Linked DNA regions of Oryza sativa Japonica Group. The protein of the gene in region 3 binds, or shares a complex with, the protein of the main gene of each other region. Links are inferred from orthologs where the notes say so. Each region holds a gene or a part of one and is shown on either strand. Other genes may lie near its edges.

Region 1 (5,985 bases), on a different chromosome or scaffold from region 3:
ACCTCTAAAAATCATGCATTTCCTCTATATGACAGGGAGAAACAGGATTCCATGTACAGAGCAAGCTTTGTCTAGGGGAAGAAAGCACTACACATGTTTTATTTACTTGTCCCATTGCTAAATTTGCTTGGAGTGTAATTGCTATAGTTCTAAATTTGCATAATGTACCTATCTCTTTCTGGGATTGTATCAAGGTTGTAACCAAGAAAATGGGGTTTCAGGGGGGAATGGTGGTTTTTGCAGGAATGACCTGGGGTTTGTGGATTACCAGAAATAATTGGGTTTTTAACAATAAACTGATCAAATCACCTTTGCAGGTCGTGTACAGGTCTTTGTCTTTGATGCAAAGGTGGAAGGTGCTGCTAAAAGAAAAGGAGTGTACTAGCTTGGATGTCTTTCAAGCAAAGATAATGCTGACGTTGGAAGTGCTGAAGCCGACTGATAATCTTCCTGATGATATAGGATAGTTCATGGGAATGGGCTCTGAAAATATTTGGTCTTTTGTTGTGGGTGTTAAAATGTCTGGAAGGGGGCTAGGTTTAGTGGATGTCCAAGCTTTTGTTGAGCTGGTTTGGAAAACTGGAATCCCCAGTTTTTTGTTTCCTTTTGTTTCGTTTTTCTGTAAGAACTCTGTTTCGTTTGGGCTTTTTCTAAAGCCGGGTAATATATGCCTGTTGTCAAAAAAAAGATGCTGTTTTCTGTTTACATTTTTTCCTTTTGGCTTTGCCGTTCGAACTCTCCATTCTTGATACAATAATTGTGTATTTCAACCGAAAAGAGAAGGCAAAAACAACTCTCCAAAAAACTTGGAGTTTATGTTTTGTGCCATGTGTGCTTCTAGAGCTGCGAGTAGCTGTAGGGAGCCAGGATTAGTATGGCTGGTAGTTAGTGAATTTCTGATTGATAGCATTTCAATTTTGTCATAAACTGGTGCGTTGATCTATGAAATTAGGCAGTTAGATTCATCGCAAATTTTTAATGGGATGAGAATATGTAAACACGGTATGTAAAGTTATCCATTAACTAGTAATACATTTGTAAAATAAAATAATTGACTGTCCTTTCTCTTTAAGAAATTGAGGAAACCACCCGTGAAATCAGTTTACTGGTACTTATAAATTATATTATCTTTTTGGGCACTTTCTTTTAATGAGGGCATCGATGTATCTCTAGAGGAGGCCGAGATTTGGGTTGAAACGGCTAGAGTAAAAAATCGGCATGAAAACCAACACTACATTGGTTTGTATAATTGTATAGACAAAATTATGACATCTGATGGTATTTGCAATTATAAATTTATAATCACACAATATATCTGATTGTTCAAGCAAAAGGGACAAAAGACTACTAACATTACTTTCGAATGATGTACAGATGAATTCCTGGTCACAGTTCTAAAGCTAGGCCTCTTGTACCCCAAAGGCCTTCTGGATTTCAGCTATGACTCGGTCTGCGACATCGGGACCAAACATCCTCGGCAAATTTGAAGTCAGGTCGACCTCGATTGACTTGGACCTTACAATTTGGTCCCTCTTTATCATGTTTTCTCTCTCGCCTTCTTCCATCTCTGAAGTATGATCAGCACAACTATCAAGCCAAATTTGAAGAAGTGCCCTAGCAGCTGTTGCTAGTTGACCACGCACTATCTCTTCCAAGGTACCCTCTCCTCCTTGCCCACAGTCGATGCTCATCAGTATTGCTGTCAGTGAGAAGGTGCTGCGCACGAAGAGGGATCGCGATCGGTATGGACGGGCCTGCGGCAATTCTTCGACCTTCTCACGCTGTTTGTCCACCTGAGTATTCTCATAGTATCTCTCTATGTATTCGGGATGGAGCGCAAGGTCTTTCCGTGGGAGAAGGTCCAGAAGCACCACGATCGAAGTTGGGCTACCTTGTATAAATTCCATGAGGAAATGCGGAGCATCTGTCGAGGCGTTCAGAAAGATGAGAAGAGATGTAATGTCGATTGCGCCATTTGGGACTTTGCAGTGTAGTGAGGACTGGAGCATGAAATCAATCTGTAGACAAGAAAAATTAATAATTTAACTCCATTTGTCATTCCTTGCAGAACTCAAGAAATTCTACCACGCTAAGCTACTGAGCACTAGGGAGCATAATTCAGGTGTTCAAGTGGTGAGATTAGTTTCATAATTTGAATGCTGTTGATCATTTTGGCCACTCCAATTGTGTCCGTTCAGTTGGAGTGATTTTGTTTTTTTGTTTTTGGAGAGGAAACAAAATCTGTGAGTGATAGGAAGAATCACGAATGAGGTACAAACTCTAGAACAGACCAATTGTTTCCATTTCGATATTGGAAGCAAATGAACTAATTTGAGCATTGCCAATATAATGAAAAGTCATAATTTGCTCCGAAGAGTTGGATTATGGATCTTGGCTTCTAAAAGTTTGCAAGTTCACCTTGATAGGGCAAATCACAAATAGTTCGGCAGCAATTTTTCAGTGTAAAACAGTTTCAGTAAATTGTCCAAGTCTTTTGACATGCCATTGATCTATTCTGCTCTGTTTGTGCCAGCCTGTTTTTACCAGTTTACCACTACCATTTCACTACTTAATTAGTTAATTCATATGATTCACTACTTAATTCATATGACTGATTCTGATGGTGCTCTAGACATTACCAGTTTACCACTACCATTTCACTAATTCATATGACTGATTCTGATGTTCTCCAATCGACAGAACAGGTAAATCTGTACGATCTGACGAGCAAAAGTGAGAGGAGGGGTGCCATTACCGTCGATCCCGGCGCGCCGCGGCGCACGTCGAGCGAGCCCACGGCGTTCCCGGCGCCGCCGCCGCTGCGGAACTCGGCGACGTCGGGCGGCACGGCGGAGGGGAGCAGCCGCGCGCCCAGCCGCGCCTCCGCCAGGGACGCGAGCGCCCGCGCCACCTCCCGGTGCGCCACCTCCACCATCACCTCCGGCTCCGTCGCGCCCGGCGCCGCCGCCGACGACGCGCGCACGGCGCTCGACGTTTTGCCCCCGAGCTGGGAACCCGCGCCGCGGCGGCGGCGGCGGAGGGGGAGGAGGCGAGGAGCGAGGGTCGGGAAGGAGACGGCGGAGGACGGCGAGCTGGTCGCCGGCGGCGGCGAGCGGAGTTGGAGCATTGGATCACGGCGAGGTGTTCGACGCGTGGACGAACGGAGCGAGAGATGAATGTGAGCGAGAGGGAGTGAGAAGGATTCCGTGAACGTGTAGAACTATCCCTCTTTTACTTTTGTAACTAGTGCAGTATATACATAGGAGATGATTGAAAGAGAGATCTGAAAGCTGCTGTTACAAATCCATCAGATTCCAAGACATTATCTATTGCAATTTGCAAATGCCTTGTTTTTTTTACGGACACTGCATTACTGAAATGTGAGATAATGCCAATTGAGGTGGTATTTGGGAATCACAAAAATGACTAGTTTAGTCCCTCCTTCGCAAACACCACATGAGTTGGTTTTTTTCTTTTATACTTCCTCCGTTTCAGGTTATAAGACTTTCTAGCATTCCCTATATTCATATAAATGTTAATGAATCTAGACACATATATATCTAGATTTATTAACATATATATGAATGTGGGTAATGTTAGAAAATCTTATAATATAAAACGGAGGAAGTACCATGCTAATGACTGGGCAGCTCACCATGTAGCGCATAAGCTTGGGAACCGAGGTGATACTTATGCCCTATTCTTTTCTCCAATAAAAGTTGGATAAACTTTTGGATACTCGTGACACGTTTTTCAAACTGCTAAACGATACGTTTCGTGGGAAAACTTTTTATATGAAAGTTGTTCTAAAATATCATATTAATCCATTTTTCAAGTTTGTAATAATTAAAACTTAATTAATCATATATTATTACTACATCGTTTTGCGTGAAACACTTAATCTTCATCTTTATATTTATCTTCAGGAGATTAAACACACCACCTAAACCTTAATACACTTGAGGCCATCTGCTACTGCTGATCACTCACTGCTGTTGCTGCTTATCGCTCCATGGGCCAAGGCCCAAAGCTCACAAAAGGCCAGATGCTGCACACTAGCTTTCTTCCTCAGTCCACTAGCTCTTCATTTTCCTTTTTCCCCCCTCTAATTATTGTGGGGGCCATATTACTGAAGGAGAATTCGAAACATCTTGAATCTTCTCAGAGAGCTTGAGAGTGAAATGAGTGGGCCGGCCAAAGAAGACCACTATGGAAGTGAAAGGGGAGGGCAAGAGCGGTTCGAAGGTCAATGAAATGGGTTCAGTTCCCTTGTCAAATAGGGGCCCCGACCCATGTTCAATCACTGAAGTGTGGTTGAGTGAGATGATCCGCAACCAACAAATGATTTGTCATTGTCTCTAAATCACTGAATGAATTCGTTTTTTATTTATATATGAGAACTAGAGAGTTCACAACTCCCTTTTCATTTATTTTGATCACTTTTTAGTTTCTGCGAATACTTATCACTAAACGTTTAAAAGGTTAATAGGATCCACGCCAACTATAAATATGCCATTTCGGATAAATGCCACTACTATTCATGATATTGGTTACGTGCCACTGAAATTTGAGGAGTTAGAACTACACTATCACCGTTGCATTTCCCGTCAGACCCCTAGGCGTTAGACCCACATATCAGTTCCATCTTTCTCCATCCTCCCTCTTCTTTATTCCCTATCTCTTCCTCCATCTTCTACGACTGCTACAAGGGACATCGACGGCGGCGACCGAGCCCTCCCACTGCGGATGGGATAAGGTCGATGACGACAGTGGCTCCCAAGCCCTCCCACCGTGGATGGGGTTGAAGACGACAGCGTTGGCATCTCCTGAGCCCTCCCGCCACGGATGGGAGAAGATTGACAACGGCGGTGGTTCCCAAGCTCTCCTGCCGTGGATGGAGTCAAAGAAGATGGCGGTGGCAGCTCCCGAACTTTCCCGCCGCGGAGGTGGTCGACGACGGTGGCGGTGACGATGAGCGCCGGAGAGAGAGAGAGATAGGGGGTAGGGGAAAGAGAGGAGAGTGAAGGGAGGAGAAAAACCTGGAATTGACAGCTAGGTCCCACGTGCAATTGATGCTAACGAAAAGTTTTGATGGATATAGCGATAGAGTGACACGGTTCCGATTTCCCTAAATCCGAATGACACGTCATAGCCGATATTGTGAATAGTACTAATTTTTATCTAAAATTACATATTCGTAGTGATATGGATCCAAGTAATCATTTATCAAGGTAGCGTTTTGTCTCTAGTGGGGCCTAATAATAAGAAGATATTAGAACATGCCAAACAATTATCTATACTACTCCCAATCTTAAATTTCGGGTGTTTAGGTAAAAAAAATCAGCATCCAACAGTAGCACTATACAAACACTCCCGAAAAATCCTTATGCCTATATGCAGAAATCTAGCTCTCCGCAAGTTTGAAGAGGGTCTAGCTCCCAATCCCATCACCGAGCGAGTTTGCCTGCACCGAGAGGATGGCTCGTCCCATCAGAATAGAAAAAAGGATGCTGATTTAATTTTGTTTGGAAGTTTTGTAGTTGGGCCATTGTTTTTGTTGTTTTGAGAAGTTAAAATAGGCTATCTTGGAGGAGAGCATATTTTTTTTCTTAAATCTGATTAGAGATTCCCAAACAAAAGGTTTAGGGGATTATATTTTGATACTAAGTTGGTGATGCTCTTATGTGGCATATGTATTTAGAAACTTATAAATTATGTATACCACTTAATTTAGGGTTATTTTGGTCATTTTACCTAGAAAAAGGTGATTGTGTTGTTATGTGTGATGGTCAAAAGTGAAAGGTAGATAAAAATGGAGGGAGTATTTTATTTATTACTCTATCTCAATGTTGCTTAACTATACCACAATCCAGTTAATCACAAGTTTTTCCATAACCCAGTTAGTCACAAATGTGGCAAAGAAAGTAATAGTACAGCACGTGCCTTCAGTGTCAATGCCAGAACTCACCCACGAAATAATTAGTA
Region 2 (5,841 bases), on a different chromosome or scaffold from region 3:
AGCTATGGCTACAACAAACAGCTGCTAATGGGATTAAATCTATCTAATCTTAGATGTAGTAAACAGCAGTGTGGCTCGCAACCAAACACCCTCTAAACATTGACATGCAAAACAAACGCCGCCGTGGCTGCTGCTGGTAGCAAGCTGCAATCAGAGGTCCAAGAGGAGTACTACTGTACCAGCCATGTTCACTGCCCGGCCAGGGCAGTCAACTTGTCTGTAGTTGGTTAATCCAATCAAAGTAGCAGCAGATTTAGTGAGATTTCAATCAGCTAAGCAATTGCAAGTAAATGCGTGTTAGTAAGGCAAAGTTTGCATGCATATTTTATTTTAACCCCAGTGCTTAAGCTGATGGAAAATTAAAGGGCATATATGGATAGATCAGTTCAACCTAAAACTATCCCCTAAAAAAAAAGTTCAACCTAAAACTTGACTAGTAGAGAAGAACGGGCAATGCACTTAGGGGCAGAGCTAGGTAGGAGAGAGGGGTGCCCAGAAACCTGGCCAAGAAAATTTTTTTAGCTATAGTTTTTCTATTTTTACTATATATGTACCTCCTTAATCCAAACTCAAATACTCATATTAGCTTAAACTTGATTTAAAGTAGAGTAAAGCAAGTGAATGGTACATCTCTCTATTTCGTTTTAGCTCCGCCCCTAAATTGTCTTATACTCCCAACGAACAATGCAGAAGAGACAGGATTGGTGACATTGGGGCCTCGGACTCAAGAAGGAAGCTTCCACCCTCCAACTAATGGAAGGTGCCATTGCTCAGCAGAAAAAAAGGGAGAAATCGACACCCAACTTCGGAAGTGCACGCTGCTATCAACTCTCGGAAAGAAGCCTCACGTCGTCTCCAGCTTGTAGTTCAGAAAAGTTGCCAACGCATGCTCCGGCTCGGCTGCTCATCAGCGTGTGCACTCTCCACTCACCATCAGATATTTTTCATGAAAAAAGCACTAGCCTGTATTTTACTTTTGGAAGAAAAGAAAGCCCCTTGCTCACAATGGCTCGCACACAGAAATCCGTACATTGTTTGTACGAGGTGAAGTGAACGTCCTGCTTCCCCATCAAGAAGAATCATCACTCTGCAAGGCTGCAGGTGCAACAAACTGCATAAATGATAGTAGTAGTATACCTTAATGCAACTTCTGAATCTCCCCTGTTGTGATCAAGAATTCAAATGGACAAAAACACAGGATTACTGTCTTACTGATAGCTTTGCTTTTAGCTTTGAAGAAGCTTTCCTTGTGATATATAACAGACTGATGAGTCATATATATACATAGCAGATGCTGGCTTGATTACTCTCACTTACTTTCAGTTCTATTGGTGGTTGCAACATACGGTGCAACCGTGCAACTGGAAGCGACGACCAGAGAATTACAGTCATCAAAACTACATTACTACATGCATGTACAGCAGATAACATTGTCCATCGAATCTGTTCGTGCTCAGTTTAGCTCAGATACACGTTTTTACAAGTCAGCTTACAAACAGTGGAATGCCCACACAACAAATGCTATTTACCCATTTTTACTGAGCACATGGTTAGCTTGACCTTAAATGGTGAGTGGCAGCTGATGCTTCTCACCGTTGGGCGTATGTACGCAGTAAGCTTTCTGGGTTCAATTTCCCCCCTTCATAAGTTTCGTGTGTCATATATCAGTACATAATAGAATCCCCGTACTGAAGAAAAATGGTGTGTGTAGCCATCTAGTTTGGCAACTCCTGGGATCATGTGCCTGGAAGAGGTCCACCTGAGCTGGAAAGAATTATGAATGCGCAGACGACAGAGAGCGAGAACACAGAAACCCATGTGTTTTCTGTGTACATCTCCATGGCATCTGTGAAAGAGAAGCGTGCTCGACTTTCAGCCCAATTACGGATTCTATCAGCCTCTGCTGCATATACTGCTCTTCCCTGCAATGTGCTTATGATCAGTCACACATTCACATGAATTAATCATCAGACTGAAAGTATTATGAACTGTGAAGTATGCATAAAGTCGCTTGGTATGCTGATCTCTCATTTGTAAGAATATAATATTCTTTTACTTCATCTGTTTGATTTTCAACCTTGCACATAGGATGATTGGAGCATTGTCCATCACAAAAGACACTGATGTATACAGCACTTTTCTTCAGTTATATTGTGAAAGATTCTGAAGGAACACAAACGTTATAATTAAATTATTACCCACTTCTCAGCATTTTTTTTTCTCAAATGTCATGTTTCCTAAATATCTTGCGAAAATAATACATGTGTTCATTCAGTTTTTCCATTAATAATTGTCAATCTAATGGTGAGAAGCTTCGACGGTACCAAAATTTGCAGGTGATTTTCTTTCCCAAAATCACAGCCAATAAACCAGTGAGATACCAAAAAAAACGTCAATATGTATACTTGTGCCCATTTCAGCCCCAAAATATTACTAGAGTGCAATCATTTGACGGGTGCAGTTGCTTTTTAAAACCCCTATCATTCTCTCCAGTTAAATCTGTTGCTGGATTTCATGTGGACTAGGTGAGATCCAGCAATACATGTGAGAATTAACTATGTCATATTTAACATGCAGTACAAACAATAGCACTGAGACTGTTGGACCGAGCTAAGCCATGGTGGAACCAGGTGTTTGAAGCCGCCATTGAGGGGAGGACCAGCCTAAGGCCTTCCAGAAGAGCTCTGGCCAACTAGCAGTAAAGGTGATGGACTGAGCTGGTCATAATGAACCTGGAAACTGAACCATCAAGACAGACCCTATTTATGGCTCTTACTTATGTAGAGACCTGACAGAACTGGACACTGGTCTCAAGCTTCATTATGATCTGACTCGCCTGGTTGATCCAGTCTTAGAACGAATACTGCTTATTTAGCATAATTTACAAGAAAATCACCACAGGCATAATTTGAATAGTCTATGTCCATTGTTCTTTATATTCAACAATGAGTTTCATATACATTTGGTGCAACGGTAGAAGAGCTTGGTACTCTTTCTCTAGAAATGTATATTTCACTATTTCAGAAGCATAATAGCTCAAAAGTCTTGAGGTTCAATATCATGAAAAGTGCATGCAAGATGCATAATAATGAAAACAACAATCATGTTTGCACGCATGGCTTCTGCAGGAATTCAGCATATTTCATATACTGGCATTGCTGAAATAAAAGGTAAAGCTGAAAAGTACTAGCTGCATAGAGAAGAAACATACCTCTTCATCAAACCATCGGCCTCGGCGAACCCATGCAGTAACCAAGGCAAGCAAGATCCTTGGTGGTGTCAAGTAGTTTATCGCCTTTCCACTTCCTTTCACAACTCGCATCCTCGGAACCAATGTCCTTGCAACTGTTTCTGGAAGCTCACATATTAAATTGAACATCTGTTTATTTCTCAGAGAAGAACCGCTGCAAAAGATAGAAGGATTATAAGTTAACTAAAGCAGTCTGCATAGTTGGGCATGTGGCAACAGAAGAGCTGACCAGATAAATATGGAAGAAGTGGCATGCACCATCAATTGAAGTTAAAAAACATATTATTCTCCGTATATAGTATTACCAATAAAAAATATTAATATGTTAGAACTTTCCAGTGCATTAGTCATTTGTAATAATTATATCTGGAAGTTATCTCACAAGTTATTTATATATTGACAGAAACTATGAAGCCTTACAAGTATAAAGTATGTGCAACATCACAACTTTGAACTGGATTTACAAGGCAGAGTATTTGCACAAGAATGGAACATTAATTCTTTCAGGTTCTGATTAACCGCCACGCACCCAGTTTACCGTGTCATCGGGATTATAGCAGATAGGAAAAGCCAGAGCTAGAAGTGTAGTAGCAAAAGCAACTTAATAATTAATGTGAAGCTGATTCTACAGAAATAGTTGCCACAAATCAAATCCTAGAAAGAAGAGATTGAAACAAAGAAGATTTGGGCAGCGAGGTATCTCAAAATTTTGACTCTTCCCCATTCAACAAAGGAGACATTCTGATTGTTGATTAACTAAAATAAATTCAAAATGAAGATAGCGTGAAATTCTGATTAACCAATATGTGTGGTTCCATAAAGATCCTACTGAAAACTTCTTATGCACTTGAAGTCTTATCTTGTTTTACTATCATCACACAAAGTGTGGTTTGGAGTTTGGACAACATGTGCACCAAGCAATAAATATATTGAAGTTCAGAATGAACTAAACAAGCAAATCATCAATAATTGCATCTAAATAACTTCAGAGGTTACCTCAAAAGGAGGTCCGTAAGGACCATTCCAGGAGAAGCAGTGTGTACACCAACTTTTGATCTTCTGCTTTCCTTCAGAAGTGATGCTTGAAACTGTCTAAGGCCACACTTAGTTGAACCATAACTGCAAGTTTGCAAAATAGTATCAGTTTTAGTTTCACTGCACAAGTAACAACATCAATACAATTATACTCGTTTTTAGCCAATGAAGAAACCACAAGACAATATCCCTGTCCAGTATAAGAGCTACACGAACAGTGGAGCATTAAAAATTTGAAATCATTAGGTACTTACACAGCTGTTAATGGTGTACTTGATCCTCCAGAACCTGCTCCATCCATGTTAAATACGTGACCTCCCTTTTGTTGGTGTTGCATGACATTCATGGCTTCTCTGGTGCACAGTAAAGAGCCAACTAGGTTTGTTGAGACAATCTGCAAACAGAAAAGGACACAATAATGTTGTTTAGGCTAAGCAGAAAGAAAAATAAGATGAAATAACTAAGTCAGGTTGCATGACGAATATAGTTCTATGAACTCTATTAGAATGGAAAAGACTCTGATTTTCCGAAGATAATTAACGTACCTGAGAAATATCTTCATCTGAAAAGTTTACCAGTGGCCTAAAACCTTTGTTTGTGCCAGCGTTATTTATCTATACATAAGAATAAGAAGAATAGCACATGTTAAGTACATTCTGCGATGCCACAGTACAGAACAAAATAAAAAGGTTATAAGTACAAAAACTTGTGCACTCAATCCAAGTATCCAACTGAGTACCCTACCGTGAAATAATGCAGAATAAATGATGGGGATAGATATGTAAAAGTAAATTATTTACCCAAATATCAATTGATCCAAGCTCATCCTTGGCAAAGTTCACCAACTTTTTCACATCTTCTGGTTTACAAACATCACATGATGTACCAACAACCTTGGCATGTAGCAAAATTTCTCTCTGTTTCTTTTTCGCAACTGACAAGCCCTCCTGTATGTTCTCTTCAAGCTCGTTGATGGTCTGAAGGACTGATTCAGGGCTGCCTTCAAAAAATAGGATATTTAAAACTAGGACAACGCATTGCATTTCATAAAAAGAATATCATGGATATGCAACAACAACACACATTGAGCTACATGTCTATGAGTACCACCTGCGTGAAGCAATTACAACACGATCTCCAGAAAGAAGGAACTCCCGAGCAAGTGCTTTCCCTAATCCTCTTGTGCTGCCAAAATCAAACTATAACTTCAATGTTGATTGCAGAACATGGATACTAATAAGAAATCAGCTCACAATTGATGCAATGAGAAGTCATGTTTATATTAACATGTTTATGAGGTTACTTTAATGATTTGTTCATATGACTGCACCTCATAATCTCCTCTATGCACCAACCCGTATAAACTTGGTGATTGTTATGGTTATACTCCACTCATCAAATAAGAAAATAGAGAATAATAGAAGGTGAAATAGTATTTCCTATCTAGGAATAAATTCATTAGTTTTGATTATTACCTTTGACCTGTACTCACAGTATGCATGCTTCCTAGCAAAAGATTCAGATGGCATGTGAAAGGAAGAATGCAAAATGGGTTA
Region 3 (6,003 bases):
GACCAGTAATTAAACCGGTGATGCCCTCGGTTCGATGGTTTATTTGTTCAACCGGTTGAACCACTGGTTTAAAGCGGTTCAATATAGGTTAAATATATAATTTATTCCTTCTAAACACAAGTTGTTTAATAGCCTGGTGGTTCGTTGGTTCACTTGTATGCATATGGTCTTGGGTTTGTACCAAGTGTCCCCCGGACGCACGTGACCGCCATGCCTGTGCAATCGGGCGGTTCATCTCCGGTTTTCTTCCCGTTTTTTATACAAAACAGGGCGGTCCAACCGGTTTATATCGGGCCAATTGCATAGCCAGTCTTTTAACTGGACCAGACCTGAGGCTCTGGTTCCGGTTTTTTCCGGTCCAATTGCCGGTCCGGTCCAATTATGATAACTATGTCCCTGCCTGACTGTTCCTAAAGATAAACCCACGCATTCCAAATCGTAGACCTCAAAACCCTTCTTGACGCTAGCCTTAGAAAGCTTCATCGAGAAGATCAATGACCTCTGAGTACGTGGTCTGACCGGGTACAAAATTGTCCAAGATTATGTACGTCGTCGGATTCTGCCCCCGCAAGTTCATCTCCACCCCTCCTATGAGTACATGGGGGCTCAAGATGTAAAGCGGCTATCGTGTCGAGATATACAATTCGAAGTCTTCTAACTTGAAAAAACTTGAATTGCTTCTCGACATTAACCTTGTAACCTCTCTTATGTTCCTCTCTTTGATGGGATCATGAGGAGCGCGTAGCCCAAGTGGTAACCGACCAACCGCCATTCGCAGCCAACATTCCCTAGCCGATATGTGATCTCCCACGCACTGATCAAAATGCCATTTTGAATGCAAGTGTTGGGACTACTCTCCTTGTCAATCATATAGTTGCCCGTAGAAATAGTAATCCCAATCCTTACAGGCCTGGTCTTTGAGGCAATTCGTGCAGCATCGCAAGCGTATGTTATGTACTCTTTCTCCAAATTTTTTTCAACTGGGTTTTTCTAGAGTTTTGACAAGGAAACCTCCGGCCCATGAAGGCCTAGCCCAATTAGTAATTGCCCCACTCACTAATATGGAAAGGAACTTATGGTTATGCCTATAAATAGAGGGAGGAGTCTCACTATTGTACACTTGAGACAATGAATGAATGAGAAAGCATACCACAAACCCAGCACTTAATTGCCTACCACTTGTGGACTTATTGTCTGCCACGATAAAAGAACAACAACATACCTTGGTGTCTCCTGTTGAATGTATTATACTACAAACCTAGCTATTACCCATGTTGGCTTGTGGTTAGTACAATTAGTGCTTCACAATAGTAGCTCGTGAACCAGTCCTTAATTGTCATGAGCACGACCATCAAAACCATATGCTCACAACCTACCATGAATATGGTTTTAGTTGTTAAGATTAATTAACTAATAATGATTAATCATTGTGAGCTATTATTAAATGGCCATAATTAATTATAGATGAAGCATTAATTATCCCAATAGTGTACTAATGTTTCTAAACATGGCTTAAGCCTCCTAATAACTTTAGCTAAAACCACATGATGTTGTAGCTAATCAAATGGCCCGATTCGACCTCTTCTCCTTGCTCTCTACCACCGCCATCTCTTCTTACACATGGATGGCATGGCAAGCGTCGGGACACCCAGATCTAAGCAGAGAAGTAGGTCCAACAACATCTGTCCTCTGGATCGGTTGGTGCTAAGGTGGTGGATATCTGAGCGTACCCAACACTTACGACGTCAAATCTGATAGTCTTATTCATGGGATTTAATAATTTCTCTCTTCTTCCTTCTTTTTTTTCCTCCATCTGGAAGCTTTCATTTTTTTAGACGGCTGCAATTCTCCTCCGCTATATTCGCTAGATAACATGGCTCAATTCCTTCTACCCGTCGGGAGCACGGAAGCAAATACTCGAATTTTACCACGCGTTTCTCTCCCCGATAAAATGGCTCTGAATTCGTACGACGAGTCTGCAAAATATCCAATACTACCCAATGTGCATCGCGTAGTAAACGCGCTGCCGTCAATACCTGGAATTCTCCGCAAAACGGCCAAAATCCCGGTCATTTTCCGCGCGTTTGCTTGCAAACCTCTCCTAACTACCAGGCCGCACAACAAACGAACCGACCGGGCCTGCCCCTTCCTCCATAGTAGTTCCATCATTGTCTCGAAGCCCGAGTTCGACACGTGCTTACGCTAGTCCGGCAGACCGGGTGGAGGCGGATCTTGGCCTTGGCTCGCTGGCTCACGGTGGACGATGTCCACGTGCTGGCCCCCGCGCAGCGTTGGGCTCGCCTCCTCCACTCCTCTCGTCCACCCGAGGATGACGTGCACGCATGGGCAAGCGAGACCACGAGGTCGCCGGAGGAACCGTCTCGCTGCGCGGTGGTTCCCACCTCCGCCCCTCCCCATCGCATCTCGCGCCCTATAAGCGAGCTCAGCTGCCCGCTCCCTCTCCGTTCTGAGCTCGCAGTTCTACTAGTTTAGTTTTTGCGAAGTGTTCTTCTCCAAATCACCTGAGAAATAGGTGTCGATTTTCAGGTATGATTCACCGATTTCTCACTAGGAGAGAGTAATCTGTAATTAGGTGTTTGCTATGTCTTTTTTTCTTCCTGGGGACTCCCTGGCATGTGTGTACTACTCGTGCGGGGAACAGTTCCCGGGTTTCGCATGAATTGCTGGATTTGGAATTGGTTTGCTGGCTGGTCGAAGCTCATTTTCGCTGTGTAGATTAGTTTTATTCTCGAGAACTTAACCCATCTGTTTGATACAGTTAAAATTTTGGTTTCGGTTCTCCCGATCAAATTAATCTGAAGGCTGATAGTTCTTGGTTTCAGTTTTTCGAGTTCGCTCTTTTAAACGTATCTTTCGGTTTATCTGTTGCAGAACTAGCGTGCTAGCCACTAGTGTGGCCATGGAAGTGGTTTCTTCCAGCCACTCCTGCTTGGCATTTAACCGAACACCTAGCAGTGCTTGGAGGTTTCCGGGGAATGGTCTTGGTCCAGGGCATGCAAAGCTCACTCGGCCAAGAAGTGCAATTCTTTGTGTGCGGTCAGGGACAGCTTCGAATCCTGCTGATTCTGGGAAAGTTCATGCGAGCCATGGGTTCTATGTAAGTGATGTCGATGCAGCTCTCCAAGGGATCCCGAAGAAAGTCGGTGAGATCGAGAAGATGATCATTCCGAGCTTGCCAGAAGGACCTGAAAGCTCTCTAATTAGTACTGGTTTCTGGGAATGGAAGCCGAAGCTGAGTGTATATTATGAAAAGTCTGGCATAGACAATAGCAAGGCACCGTCTGTGCTCTTTCTACCAGGTTTTGGAGTGGGAACGTTCCATTTTGAGAAGCAATTGAAGGATCTTGGCCGTGATTACAAAGTATGGACAATGGATTTTCTAGGGCAGGGCATGTCGTTGCCATGTGAAGATCCTGCTCCTAAGAGCACATCAGGAGAGCTAGATGAGGACACATATTGGGGTTTTGGACAAGAATTACAACCATGGGCGGAGGAGTTGGTGTATTCGATAGATTTGTGGCGTGACCAAGTTCAGCATTTTATTGAAGAGGTACTTCTTTCAACTATTTTCTGTGTAGTTTTATGTTTACTTTGCTAAAAAAATATCATCTTTAGTTCACAAATCCTAGTATGCTTTGCACTCTTTGAAGGGCCTGCAATAATAGCTATTTATTAGTTATTGAAGATTCTTGAATCTCACAAACTTCAGCGTTTCATATTCGGTTAATAGAATATAAGAACCGTTATGTTGCCCAAAGCAGGTGCCCTGTTTTTTGGCACACACACTTGTAACACATTCTTTTATTCCAGTATCTAGAATAGAGAGCAAAGGAGCCCTGTTCCCAATCTCATATAGCAGGTTTGACATTTGTGTTATTATGTGTAATGCCAAAGTTCTTAAGTTTACTTATCCATAACAGTCCTACCATGAGATTCATATCATATGTTTCTTATGCTAATTTTGTAACCTTCTTTCAGGTTATTGGTGAACCAGTATATATTGTGGGGAACTCTCTGGGAGGTTTTGTTTCTCTATATCTTGCTGCATCCTGTCCACACCTTGTAAAGGGTGTCACATTACTTAATGCAACCCCATTTTGGGGATTCCTTCCCAACCCTGCTACATCTCCTCGCTTGTCGAAGATTTTTCCATGGGCTGGGACATTTCCACTTCCATCGTTTGTGAGGAAACTTACTGAAACAGTGTATGTGCTACCCTTTAGGTTTTGGGAAACACATGTGCATATTGATATTGAATAATCTTAAATTTATCCCTTCTGCTAATTATTGGTGTACTATTTTTTTTCATTATAATGAATGCATGGAATGCAAAAGTTTTATGATACTTGTAGCAAGGCATAGCATCTGTAGATTGCTACCTTTTGTTTTGACAGAAATTGATTGCATACTTCACCAGTGAAGAAACGATTTAGACTATGTTTAGTTTGCATATGGTACTATAAGTATAGCTAATAATTGTTTTTTCAAAAAAAAAACGTGTTTTTTTATAAAATCACACCTAGATATAAAGTATATTTCTGTATGTCATTTTCTGCCATTATTTTTCCTTTTACATTGTCATTCCTCTCTCATGTTAGGATGGTAGGCTGTGCAATGTATTGGTGTTTTAACAGATTAAACAAGCTGTTATTCAATAGCAATTGTGTGGTCCCTGCATCATTTAGAACTATGCAAGTTATCCATGTGGTGATATAAATTTGGTGGATCTCATTTAATATCTTTTTGGTGCAGGTGGCAGAAAATAAGTGATCCAAGAAGTATACAGGGCATACTCAAGCAAGTATATGCTGACCACTCAACGAATGTGGACATGGTGTTCTCGCGTATTATAGAGACAACACAACATCCAGCAGCTGCTGCATCATTTGCATCCATTATGTGTGCTCCAAAGGGACAAATATCCTTCGAAGAAGCTCTATCTAGGTAAACTGGATATACTATTTGATGAATTGCCATGTTGCTTACAAAATACGATTTTGTATTTTTACATTTCATAATCTGCAGGTGCCAAAGGCAGGGTATTCCCATATCTCTTATGTATGGGAGAGAAGATCCTTGGGTTAGACCTATTTGGGGTATTAAAGTGAAACAGCAGGTGCCAGAATCACCGTATTACGAAATCAGTCCTGCTGGTCACTGCCCTCATGATGAGGTTCCTGAGGTAAAACATTCATTGTGTTTGGAAATAAAGCTCGTCATATTTAGTTTGTACCAGATAGTTGATAGTTCATTTTGTAGCCGTGCATTCTGTTTTGGGTGGATACTGTGGCTGGTGGGCTGTGTGTGTTTAAGAAAGGTCATGTTCTCTGAATATCATCCATGTTGATTACACATAAGAAACTATGGAACAAAAACTGGAGGAAATTTGTATCAGTATCTAGTTTGTTTTGACCAACATTTGAAATCTCTATTTAAATCTAGAAATTTCGGTATACAACCAATGGCCATTATATGGGACTGCAGCCTTAGCTATGAGTTTCTACAAAGATAGGCAGCTGTATCTTAGAAGCTAAATGCTATTAGTGGAATCAGATCTGGATCAGCACAACAGGTTGTCAGATGCTATCTTTAGGTGGGGTACCAGGGAAGCCCAAGAATCACAACTGTTTGCGAATTCCTCATGATAGGATTTTCTGCTAGGGCAATGAATATGGATTGTACCATTTGTAAGCTTAACATTTTTTCTGCAGTTTTTGTTTAATTCTGTAGCATGCATTTGATACAAAGACACCTTGGGGCACTAATTTTTTTATGGTTGAGTGTGTTTAAGTTCCCTAGTTTTCTCCTTTGAAGTTACAAGACATTATATGGTTGAGGTTGTAGGTTCCAGGAAAAAGCCTTGCCTGGTGGATCACTGGGCGCCTTCAGGCATCGTAACCCCTTGGGGCGGTGCGAGGGTACCTCTCTTCCTCGGCAAGTTTTCTCTAGGTGAAAACCACATCTTTGTTAGAAGGTGGGCGA
Region 4 (6,092 bases), on a different chromosome or scaffold from region 3:
GAGAAAACAAGAAGATAGAACAATGAAAGAATATAGGGTTAAAGTTTTAGTTTCACACAGGTATTACGACGAATAACAATTTTAATAATATTAGTATATTATCGATTAATGTGAGTATATACCATACCATGGATATGAGCAACTTTTCCCCTCATGTGTTTGGGCTAGTGACTAACCTCCCTTTTTTCGGTTTATCTTACCTTCTTTCGAAGTTCTCCTAACATGTGATAGGTAGGAAATGTTTTGTTATTTCAATGAAATAAAGAAACGATTTGCCTAGATTATTTTATAGAGAGAATCCATTGTGTGCCACTAACTTTGTCCCCATTCTATAGTATGCCACTGAGTTTGTCAAGTTCTACATTATGCCATCGTATTTAACTTCTATAATATACCATCGCCATCCATTTAGACTCCTGTAGTACAATATAATAATTTTGTCCTTAGGACCCAAATATCCCTGGGACGAAAATTTCCAAAATTTGGCCGAAAATTCCGAAATATCATATTGTAAACTAGGCAGAGAAGTTGCCCATTTCAAACTTCAAAAGTTTTACAATATTATATTTTGATTCTTTTTACCAAAATTTGGAAGTTTTTTGGTCATTATAATAAAATTGTACAGTAATAATGGAGGCTAACTAGACGACGATGGTATATTATAGAAGTTAAGCAAAATGCGATGGCGCACTAGAACTTGACAAACCCAGTAACATATTGTAGAACAGGGACCAAAATCAGTGACACAATGGATTCTCTATTTTTTATGGTTGTTCACTTAACTACCTATCTACTATGGTGTATCGTTTTAAGAAAAAGCTAAATCTTATACTTATAAGTACATATCTTACACATTAAACTGCATACACATAATATAATTTTCGAATTATACAATGCACTTTTCACATTTTATAGGAGAAATATAGATAAATGATTTATTATCTATTTAATTATGAGAAAAATATTAGTCCAAACTGACATATATGTAAAAAATAAAAAAAACAATACGAAAGAATTACGAAAATACCTACTGATAGTCATCGTATATGATGTAGTGAGAAAATGAGTCCACAATCGAATGCTTTATTATTGAGCAAAATTGATGTATTATTTTTATCTTTTTTTACCTGAATCTATTTATCCGTATCATCATGTATCAACATATCATGAGATTATTAGTAATAGCTAACTACATCGGCCCAACCATACTTAGCTATCATGAGACTATCCAGTAATGGACAACTCTTCTTTAACTGTGCTAGAGAAAAAAAAAGTAAATTACAATTTATTCTTAAAAGTTTTCATCTTATGTCATACTTTAACCATTCTTTTCGCTTACATAGTGGCTAACTTTACATTTCAAATTGGGCCAGACTATTCTATCCATCTCTAAGTTTGGTGACTCAGCAACCACTATGTACACTAACTCTCTTTCTCTCTATTTTCTTTTTCCCTCCGATAGTTAGGGAACCACTAGCTCCAGCAAGAAGGAGCACGGATCTAGCGTCTCCGCTCTTCGTTGGGTCGGCTCGTGCCTCCTGAGTTAGTAAGCTCGACACCCTGACCTCAATGGCAACTGTGATAATAGTGTGCATGACGATGGGGGAGGAGAAAATACATGTCGGTAACTGGAGGGTGCGACTGTGCATGCAAAGACGAAGAGGAGGAACGATAGTGGCTTATGGAGAAAGAGCGGTTGGTGGCGATGCGTGGAATGATAATTAGGCCCCGTTTGGTAGGGCTCCAAACTCCAACTCCTATTTTTACTCTAAACTCCAACTCCAGTGAGAGCTAGCTCTGATTGGAGTTAGAGACTTGTTGAAAAGTGTTTGGCTAGCTTTCAGCTATAAATCTGAAAAAAATAAAAAAAATAATAATAAAAAAAGAAAACCCAGTCGCTGGCCATCCCCAGGCGCGCCGCCGACCGCTGGCCACGCACCGCCCATGCGCCGTCCCGGGCGCACCGCCCGTCGTTGTCCCGGCCGCCGCCGATGCTGCCGTCGCCCGCCGCCGCCGATGTAGCCGTCGCTCGCCGTCGCCCCGCTGACGTTGTCTTTGCTACTGTCGCCCGCTGCCGCTGTCGCCCGTGCCGCAGACGCTGTCGTCACCCGCCACTCGTCGTCACCGCTGCCGCCCACGCTGTCGTCGCCCGCCACTCGCCGTCGACGCTCGCCCGCTGCCGCTGGCTCCTGCCAACGCTGCCGACGCAGTCGCCGCCACCCGCCGATGCAGATCGGGAGGGGGATGGGAGGATGAGAGAGAATGGGGGAGAGGAGGTGTGGAGGGGTAGTTGGGTGGCATTTTTGTGAAAATAGGCTAAAAATTAAAGGGTAGTGGGTCTTTTGGGGTGAAGTGGAGCTGTAGAGTAGCAAAAACTCAGCTCCACCCCTAGTACAAATTTGTGGAGTAGCTCTGTTAACTCTGCTCTGAAAAACGGAGGATTTGGACCGTTTGGCACAGCTCCAGCTCCAGATAAGTTGAAGTTGGGAGGTAGAGCTGTGCCAAACGGGGCCTTAGTAATTGCTGGTGGTACGAAGAGTTTGTTCTCGACATAATCCCTAATCGAGTTGAGTAATTTATTTTTTTTTCATAGTATTGCTAATACGTGGCCCACTCGTCATCATAAGGAAAAATGTTGAGATAAAGGTAGCGTAAAAGAAAGAATCTCCCGTCTCGTCTCCTCCGCTCGTTGCGCCAAGACGAGTCGCGGCTGAACAGGGGAGGGGAGGTGACGAGCAGAGCAGAGCAGGGGAGGGGAGGGGATCCTGGTGAGCCTCTTTCTGATTCATCTCTCTCTCCCACCGGGACTGGAATTTGCTTGCGTTCGTTCGTTAACCCTAGCTTCTCTTCTAGATCTGGAAGAAGCTCTCTTCTCCTCGTTAATTTCAGAGCCTTAGCCTCTCTTAATACAAGTAGTAACAGTTTGTTTGTTTGTTCCCCCAAAATTCCCAAGTTGGATCCGCCCCTGGCTCTAGCGTTAGCACGGCTGGTACCTAGGGTACCTGGAGCTGATATGTTGAACCACTGGTTGATGATATGGTTTATGGACCGTATAACTATATAAGAACGTATGATGGTGCTTGTAAGGATGAGATTTCCCATATATATTATCCACCAAAATAGATTTTCTTGGTTTAGGCAATGCACTGTGCATCTGTTGCATGTCACTTGAAATAGGGCGACAAGTACCCCGTATGGGACATCGTAGATTTGTAGATGAATGCCAGCCATCGATTCAGGTTAGATGCAAACTTGTTTGATGGCTTAGGTGAGTTTCGGGCAGCATCTACGCGACTTATACTAGAGAATAAATAGGGAGTTAACACAAGATCTTCCATACAGCACTTGGGAAGATTGAATAGCTACCTAGCCAGTTAAATGAGCGTTTTTCTTTTTTTCATCCCTTCTATATAGCAACAAGAAGAAGAAAGTAGGTTACTTCATAGCATCATATATATACAGACAGTGGTGGTTTTAGATGACTATGGTGCTGTTAAGATGCGAGGGTGGTATGTCGGTGGAGTGGGTGCAGCGGTAGAGGAGAGGACTGAGGGTGGGAAAGATGGTGTGGGTGGGGAGAATCTGAGCCTGAGGAAGAGGAATGAGACAGATATTCACTTGCATTGGTAGAAGTTCCTTTCTCCTATTTTCATCCAAAAAAAAAAATCCTTTGCCCTACAGGATTAGAAATAATTATATGGTAGCGTGCATCATTGTAATTTTAGAAAGTCACACTTGAAAAATGTTTAGTACTTTTATGCAGGTTGTTAATTCATTCTGTAGATTAATTCATTCGGTAGATTATCATATTTCCACGTGAATTTCACATGCAGGCTGACTATTCAATATCCATGGCGCGGTGCATCTCCTTCCTGTCTACCTCCTCGTCCTTGCCATGTGCCACAAAACCGCCCTGCTGCTCAGTGTCCTCTGTCTTACCCTCGTCTCCGTCCTCTCATCAATGCCGAGGTAGGAAAACGAGTTGCGGGTCAATTAGGGCGCTGCGGGAGGATTGGAGGGAGAGATCCAAGGCCATCCCTCCTGGTGGCGTCTACCCAGCCAAGGACCACTGCAGCCAATGTGGGCTTTGTGACACCTACTACATTGCGCATGTCAAGAATGCCTGCGCATTCCTAGGAGATGGCATGTCCCGTGTCGAGGTATCATGCTAGTCTTTCCTTCCTTCATGCATGCGTTATTTCTTTCAAGCTAGCTAGCTTACCAAATCACATTTAAGTAGGATTTGGAGCCATTGGTCCATGGGAGGGGCAGGAAGCAAGACATGGATGAGATGTACTTCGGAGTGTATGAGCAACTCCTATATGCCAGGAAGATGAAACCTGTTGAAGGTTTGCTCCTTATCCACCATTTTTTTCTAGGCCACAAGATTGTGGTTACATATATGCTAATTAATGGCCAAGTAATTTGTGCAGGAGCCCAATGGACAGGAATAGTGACAACGATTGCGGTTGAGATGCTAAAGGCAAATATGGTTGATGCTGTGGTTTGTGTACAAAGGCACCTAAACAACAATCAAATATTACATAATTGCTTTCCGTTGCAAAAGGATTTTTTTCATGGTCTTGAGAAAACTGTTGTTTGTCTCCTCTGCAGTGACCCAGATGACAGGCTTGCTCCAATGCCTGTTTTAGCCAGGTAGGTACTAAGACAATGGTTGCTTGCTACTTCAGATTTTTTTTTTTTTCATATGGCTTGTGCTTACAACTTCTTACTTAAAGTACATTTGCATTTTACACTTATATGGTTTTATGGTCCATGAGGAGGTAACATGAGATACCACATTTTGTAGTATAAATTTTGGCACTTCCCAATATCTGTGATAGAAGATGAGGTACCTCTCGGTATCTCCTCAAGGACCATAGAATCACTCAAAAGTAAAAACCTTGCTTCCAGTCTACTGATTAACTACTTGTGCTGCTCATGCTTGCTAGAATTGAAGCAAAATTTGATTGATCAACTATTATCTCGTAGGACGCCAGATGAAGTTATTGCAGCCAAAGGTGTGAAGCCAACATTATCACCTAATCTCAATACGCTTGCGTTGGTTGAGGTAAATCTATCTCTTGTGCACACTATGCATCCTTTTTTTGGGTCACTAGCTCCTGTGTCTTGTCCCCTGCCCTTCAAAACCTATACAGGCATATGGGTGATTACGGCAGATATCTTTTGCCTTGGACATGAACTTGGAGTCATTTTTTCCAGAGCATTTTTACCTCATCCCCTTTCTAGGCAATTCGAATTTAGTTTGGTTTCAAAGGAATCAGAACTAATGTTGTTCTATTCAACCTACAAGATCAAATTTTACTTAATGTCATTCCAGTAGTGACTCTAAAGGCAAAACAAAGTCCAATTTAGGCTATTAGATTCTACAATCAAGACCATAATGATATGATGACAATATGACATGATAGTTGGTCCATACTCTATCTTCCTGACTAACTCTGTCAAAACCTCAGTTTCATGCTATCCTTTGACAGGCAGCTGGTGTGAAGCGTCTTCTCTTCTGTGGTGTGGGTTGTCAAGTGCAAGGTGTTTACCTTGCCCAAACATTCTTCTATTTCTAGTGGTGACAATGTGTTGTATCTCATAATTATCCAATGTGGCAACAGCTTTGAGATCAGTTGAGAAGTATCTTGGTTTGGAAAAGCTTTATGTGCTCGGGACAAACTGTGGTAACTACTAACTGATAACTGAATTAGTTGATCTTGAAATTTGTAATTACTGTGTTGCACGGAGGATATATTTGAACGTTGGCTTACAGTAAATATTCACAGTGGACAATGGTACCCGTGAAGGACTTGACAAGTTTTTGAAGGCTGCAAGCAGTGAACCAGAGACTGTACTGCATTATGAATTTATGCAGGACTACAAGGTAAAACTTTGGAATAATTAGTACTCTATTTTCTCTTATTTTTGACATACTGTTTAGAAGTCAACAGTTCAACAGGCAGTTTTAGGACATAGAGAAAAACTTATTGAATCAACAATATAACCATGTTGTTGCTTCCAAAATTTTGATTCATGACTGTTGTATAACTCAGCGTATTTGCAGGTTCACTTAAAGCACTTGG
Region 5 (4,589 bases), on a different chromosome or scaffold from region 3:
TATTTAACATCGATGGTGCTGGTTCTGATGGAAGGCCAACCCCAAGGTATGCATTTCCATTTGTTCTGTTCTGTAGTAAAATGTAGACACTCAATGTGCAATTCAATCATTATATCATTATGTTTGAATTCTCATACAGTATGAAGCTATGAAATTTCACATCATGTATTATGTCCTTTTAGTTTATTGCTAATTGCTAATAGGAGAGTACCTATGATTCCACATAACTGTGCCTCATAAGTTTCTGTGCTGAATTTGGCTTCCATATAGACATATACTGTACTGTTATCAGTAGTTTCAACCAAATGAAAAAATTACACCACTGCGGTGGCCCCCGCGCGCGCGCGTTGGGGGGTTGGGGGTATCAAGCGATATTAAATATAATTATATTTTGGTAACTAGTGCTTTTGTGGTTACACCAGGATACTACTTAATAACTTAATATCCTTTCAGAAATAGACACTGATTATTATTGATAATGACTAGGTTTGCTGCATATGGTGCAACGAAGAGAAGTGTGGTGCACCTTACAAAATCTCTGCAGGTAAAGGTTATGTGAGGATATAACCTCATATCATTTTGTTTTGATCAGAACATATCCAGTGTAGCATTTATTCATAGTCCACTATTTGTGGCATTGTAACTTCATATAAATTGTTAACTGCATTGTGACATCACAACTATGATGCAATATTGATTACCACCATTTCTCAGTATCCAGAACAATAAAGCTGTGATTATCAAATAGTTACTCAATACTCATTAATAATTTGAAAAAAAAAACATAAAGCTGTAATCATCCATATAATCCTTGGACTTGAGTCTTGAGGTTCAGACCCTTCCCTTCTTAAATGGAACGATTTTTCTGGAGAACTCGCAATGTAGGTTTTCATTTCCTCTTTTTTTTGTCCTTCTGGAATTCTTGTTTATTAGAATTTGCAGGAAGAAAATAATTTGATTCTAATTGCAGGCCGAGTTGCAGATGAATGAAGTGAACAATGTTATGGTGCACAATTTGTCGGTACATAACTCCAACCTTTTTCCTGGTGTCTTACTACTTTAGACTTAACTAGATGATTAAACACTGGAGTAGTTTAGCAAATTAGTTCCTGTAAGCTTTGAATCATGCATCTCTGCAAGTTAATTGGTTGCATTCTTCTTGTATAATCGATTAATAATGATGCAAGAATAATTATACCGAGTACATATTAATCTGTGCAGCCTGGCATGGTTACAACAGATCTTCTTATGTCTGGTGCCACAACAAAGCAGGTGAGTGATCCACATGGTCTCCTTTTAACAATTGTTGACAAGATAGTTCATCGTTATTAAATTCTGGATTTATACTGATGGCAGGCCAAATTTTTCATCAATATATTAGCTGAACCTGCTAATGTGGTAAGAGCTCCATCTTGATTTCTTTTTTCCCCAGCATATCGTTGTTTCTTGTTCTAGTTTCCATATGGCTGAAGACTGAAGTAGCAAACATGATTTAGCTACTGCAAGCCAAATAGCTTGAAATATCTAACCAAATAGCTTGAACATGATCTCTGGACCTGGTTATATGTTCATGAAAATCATGAGACAATTCTTTATCGATGGGTTAAGTTAAACCTGACGTATTTACTTGCATTATCAATGTTCAAACATGCTAATGAATACCTCGTTGATCATGCATACCTTTACATCTGTCATGAAACACATGCATACCCTTAGTATTTATTAATTTCAGTGCAAAACAATTATTCGCACAGCTTCAGTTGTTTTGATCAGAACAAATGTGGCCATCTAATATTTTCATAGGACACATAAAAAAACTAGTTGTTTATAGTTCAATACGTTAGCTCGATTGAACTTAAAAAGTTGAAAAGCTTTACATGACATGGGCAGTGCTTTATACCACCAATGACATCCAGGTTCATGTAACACGGGATATATCTATGAGTGATCCAATTTACCTGCCTTACATGTTATTGATGGTAATGTACACTCGTTGAGTCTTCTAGTTAGCTGTAAGGTCCAAAATATATTTTTTTATAACTTTATTATGAATTATGATAGGTTGCGGATTATCTCGTTCCAAACATCAGAGCAATACCTACTAACCAGTCCATGAAACCAACCTACATCCGTTTTCTCACAGGCTTGAAAGCCTACTCCAGAATATTTTCAGTAAGATCTCCACTGTATTTTGTTATTATTTGACATCCTCAACTACTGTCAATTCCACTGTGTTGAATAACCATTGTCCCTGATTTCACTTGCAGAGGATTGCTTTTGGTGCTCGTAGGAACAAGTATGTTGCTGAGGATTAGTGTCCGTTTTGCTGCCATCTTACAACCCTGAAGAGAACTAGGGACATTTTCTTGTTCTCTCTTGTAATTACATTCTTTGTAAAATAGCATGTATTACCGATGGCATTTCAAGAAGGTGATGTACTCCTATGTATAATATCAGCAATTTGATTATACACTAATTCAGTTGCTGCTCATGTGATGCACTTCTTATCATCCTTGTGATCTCTACTGTTCTACAAAATTTCCAACCATACCTAGAATACAAGTTTGACAAGAGTTGCATTTATGTATGTTTCATCTTCCATGTAAAGAGCACCTCATGATACATCTGTGCAAATACATGTATGATTGAACTAATTTTCGATAGTACTTCCAGTTCCAGATCTTTTGGAGTTGTTCCCTACTTTTCCAGTTTCAATTTGAAGGATGGACAACGTTTTGCAGTGTCAAAATTTAGGCACCTAGTATGGATGATTGATTTTCTGTAATTCTATATTTTCTTGATTGGAAAAATGTGCAGATGACATCACAATGACAAGACAAGGTCATGCTGCCATGCTGCTGCTAGGTGTTGGCAGGATAGGACTTTGTTCACATCATAAACATCCAGCTTGCCTGATAAGTTAACCTCAACATTCATTTTGTACCTAATTTATATTTGCAGTTCTGTGCTTCTTTCTTTATCACGTTCATGATTTTGCATGATCTATGATGCCCTTCCATTCATGTATTGGGCAGAGGCCGCATGTGCTGCGAAAAGAGCACCCTGTTATACTCCATGCTTAATATGAGATAATCATTCATTTTGTTATCTTACCATTTTGAAATCTTGTACTTCTCTGCCTACCTTTCCTTCCATGTACACCAACTGTGATGACCGATGTGCTAGACAAAATGTAGAATGTCCCTTCCATAGGCAGTGTAGTGATAGGAAGAACTATATAAAAGGGGTGATATCCTTTCAAGGTTGGAATGCCATCTCACTCTTCTCCCTAAAAATAGACGGCACAGTCTCAATTCCTTTTTCTTCATCATATACATTGGTACTAGTATTTGTATTAAGTTCTGGTTTCTCTTATTCTGATCTAATGCATTCTTGATTTCTAAATAGGATTTTAAAACATCGGTACTCATGTTTGATCTCTCACATTTCTATTTGGAAATGTTTTCCCTTACCATAAGGGCACATCCTCACATTTACTCCATACTGACAATTTAATGAATCTGTCTTGTTTGATTACACAAATACACAATCCAAACAGGCTTTATGTCTTTTATATTTACTGAAGTGCTCTGAGTATGATTTACAGAATAATGTCCAACAGCCAGCCAGCACAAGAGGATGATTGCATGTCGAGCATTCTGGTTTCTCGCCTTATCCGGGCTATGCAGCCAACAAGGAGTTACCTTCGATGGTCTGATGATCTCCATAAGATGTTTGTGGAGGCTGTGGCCTACCATGGAGGTCCCTATGGTAAAACTGTTTGTTATTCACTGCTTGATCTCAAAATACTCGTTGATGGAACTGATGCCATGTTATTGTTAAAAAAAACTGATGCCGTGTTATACATTTGTTGCAATCTTCAGAAGCTAAACCAACTGCAGTGAAGGAGACAATGCAAGCTATGGGTGTCACAAGCCTTACGACCCACAACATCAAGAGTCACCTCCAGGTACCCTCCTGCCATGTTGCAGAGCTTTTTATCAGATATTTTGATAATTCTTTCTCTCTATTATCATTCTCGTTCTGCTGCACAAGATCTTGATGCATCTTGATTGTTCGTGCTATTGATTTCTTTTGTTTTTCAGAAGTACAGGGAGAGTTTCAGTTCAGGTGTTGGGTCTCTTCATGATCATGATCTGCTGAGAACCACTTCTCCAAGCAAGGAAGCACTTGATCTGTATGGTTGTTTGAGGAAACTAGATTGTGGAATTCACATGCTGCATGGCATTTTTTCTCTTTCAAAAAGATACAGTGCTGCATGCCATAAACTTCTCTGAAACATGTTGCAGTTGGCTGTGTATATCCACTTGTGGATATAGAGACCGGATTTCTATTCATTATCTCAAAAAAACATGTTGCGATGTGCAGGGCATCTGAGATGGTTAGGGACAACGATGCCGCTATGGCTGAAATCGAGGTACAAATCTTCTTTCATCTTTAATTGAAGTTTTGCCTTCTTGTACCTGATTTGAGGGTATATATCGTCATGATGAATTCAACATGTGATGCAGATGTTGAACGATTTGCTGTTGGATCACGATATAGAGGTATGTTTTTCGCGACACACC

Evidence for each region.
Region 1: pheophytinase, chloroplastic (region 3) and red chlorophyll catabolite reductase 1, chloroplastic share a complex: the UniProt entries of both Arabidopsis thaliana proteins name them as parts of the SGR1-CCE-LHCII complex. The link is inferred for Oryza sativa Japonica Group from reciprocal best matches to the Arabidopsis thaliana genes PPH and ACD2.
Region 2: pheophytinase, chloroplastic (region 3) and probable chlorophyll(ide) b reductase NYC1, chloroplastic share a complex: the UniProt entries of both Arabidopsis thaliana proteins name them as parts of the SGR1-CCE-LHCII complex. The link is inferred for Oryza sativa Japonica Group from reciprocal best matches to the Arabidopsis thaliana genes PPH and NYC1.
Region 4: pheophytinase, chloroplastic (region 3) and 7-hydroxymethyl chlorophyll a reductase, chloroplastic-like share a complex: the UniProt entries of both Arabidopsis thaliana proteins name them as parts of the SGR1-CCE-LHCII complex. The link is inferred for Oryza sativa Japonica Group from reciprocal best matches to the Arabidopsis thaliana genes PPH and HCAR.
Region 5: pheophytinase, chloroplastic (region 3) and chlorophyll(ide) b reductase NOL, chloroplastic share a complex: the UniProt entries of both Arabidopsis thaliana proteins name them as parts of the SGR1-CCE-LHCII complex. The link is inferred for Oryza sativa Japonica Group from reciprocal best matches to the Arabidopsis thaliana genes PPH and NOL.

Annotation. Positions count from the first base shown.
Region 1 is NC_089044.1:13,536,547-13,542,531, forward strand, and holds red chlorophyll catabolite reductase 1, chloroplastic, read right to left. Parts: upstream 3,228-5,985; 5' UTR 3,128-3,227; coding exon 2,756-3,127; intron 2,019-2,755; coding exon 1,401-2,018; 3' UTR 1,256-1,400; downstream 1-1,255. UniProt on the Arabidopsis thaliana protein: Catalyzes the key reaction of chlorophyll catabolism, porphyrin macrocycle cleavage of pheophorbide a (pheide a) to a primary fluorescent catabolite (pFCC).
Region 2 is NC_089035.1:7,036,524-7,042,364, reverse strand, and holds the end of probable chlorophyll(ide) b reductase NYC1, chloroplastic, read right to left. Parts: intron 5,471-5,841; coding exon 5,396-5,470; intron 5,282-5,395; coding exon 5,086-5,281; intron 4,900-5,085; coding exon 4,831-4,899; intron 4,680-4,830; coding exon 4,540-4,679; intron 4,370-4,539; coding exon 4,247-4,369; intron 3,405-4,246; coding exon 3,212-3,404; intron 1,923-3,211; coding exon 1,737-1,922; 3' UTR 1,184-1,736; downstream 1-1,183. UniProt on the Arabidopsis thaliana protein: Involved in chlorophyll b degradation. Belongs to the chlorophyll catabolic enzymes (CCEs).
Region 3 is NC_089040.1:14,709,765-14,715,767, forward strand, and holds the start of pheophytinase, chloroplastic, read left to right. Parts: upstream 1-2,334; 5' UTR 2,335-2,547; intron 2,548-2,892; 5' UTR 2,893-2,920; coding exon 2,921-3,571; intron 3,572-3,999; coding exon 4,000-4,226; intron 4,227-4,773; coding exon 4,774-4,965; intron 4,966-5,046; coding exon 5,047-5,203; intron 5,204-5,865; coding exon of another isoform or gene 5,866-5,919; exon of another isoform or gene 5,920-6,003. UniProt on the Arabidopsis thaliana protein: Alpha/beta hydrolase dephytylating specifically the Mg-free chlorophyll pigment (pheophytin), yielding pheophorbide. No activity on chlorophyll. Belongs to the chlorophyll catabolic enzymes (CCEs).
Region 4 is NC_089038.1:14,942,651-14,948,742, forward strand, and holds the start of 7-hydroxymethyl chlorophyll a reductase, chloroplastic-like, read left to right. Parts: upstream 1-2,670; 5' UTR 2,671-2,768; intron 2,769-3,833; 5' UTR 3,834-3,851; coding exon 3,852-4,160; intron 4,161-4,240; coding exon 4,241-4,349; intron 4,350-4,433; coding exon 4,434-4,518; intron 4,519-4,614; coding exon 4,615-4,656; intron 4,657-4,992; coding exon 4,993-5,071; intron 5,072-5,498; coding exon 5,499-5,550; intron 5,551-5,630; coding exon 5,631-5,693; intron 5,694-5,795; coding exon 5,796-5,893; intron 5,894-6,073; coding exon 6,074-6,092. UniProt on the Arabidopsis thaliana protein: Probable iron-sulfur flavoprotein that converts 7-hydroxymethyl chlorophyll a to chlorophyll a using ferredoxin as a reducing equivalent. Catalyzes the reduction of a hydroxymethyl group to a methyl group. Belongs to the chlorophyll catabolic enzymes (CCEs).
Region 5 is NC_089037.1:26,384,820-26,389,408, reverse strand, and holds the end of chlorophyll(ide) b reductase NOL, chloroplastic, read left to right. Parts: coding exon 1-46; intron 47-486; coding exon 487-544; intron 545-970; coding exon 971-1,021; intron 1,022-1,221; coding exon 1,222-1,272; intron 1,273-1,356; coding exon 1,357-1,398; intron 1,399-1,916; coding exon of another isoform or gene 1,917-1,979; intron 1,980-2,061; coding exon 2,062-2,172; intron 2,173-2,267; coding exon 2,268-2,315; 3' UTR 2,316-2,677; downstream 2,678-4,589. Other genes in the region: myb family transcription factor PHL12-like, read left to right, coding at 3,597-3,771, 3,885-3,970, 4,107-4,198, 4,390-4,438, 4,533-4,568. UniProt on the Arabidopsis thaliana protein: Required for chlorophyll b degradation. Chlorophyll b, chlorophyllide b, pheophorbide b and pheophytin b can be used as substrates. Belongs to the chlorophyll catabolic enzymes (CCEs).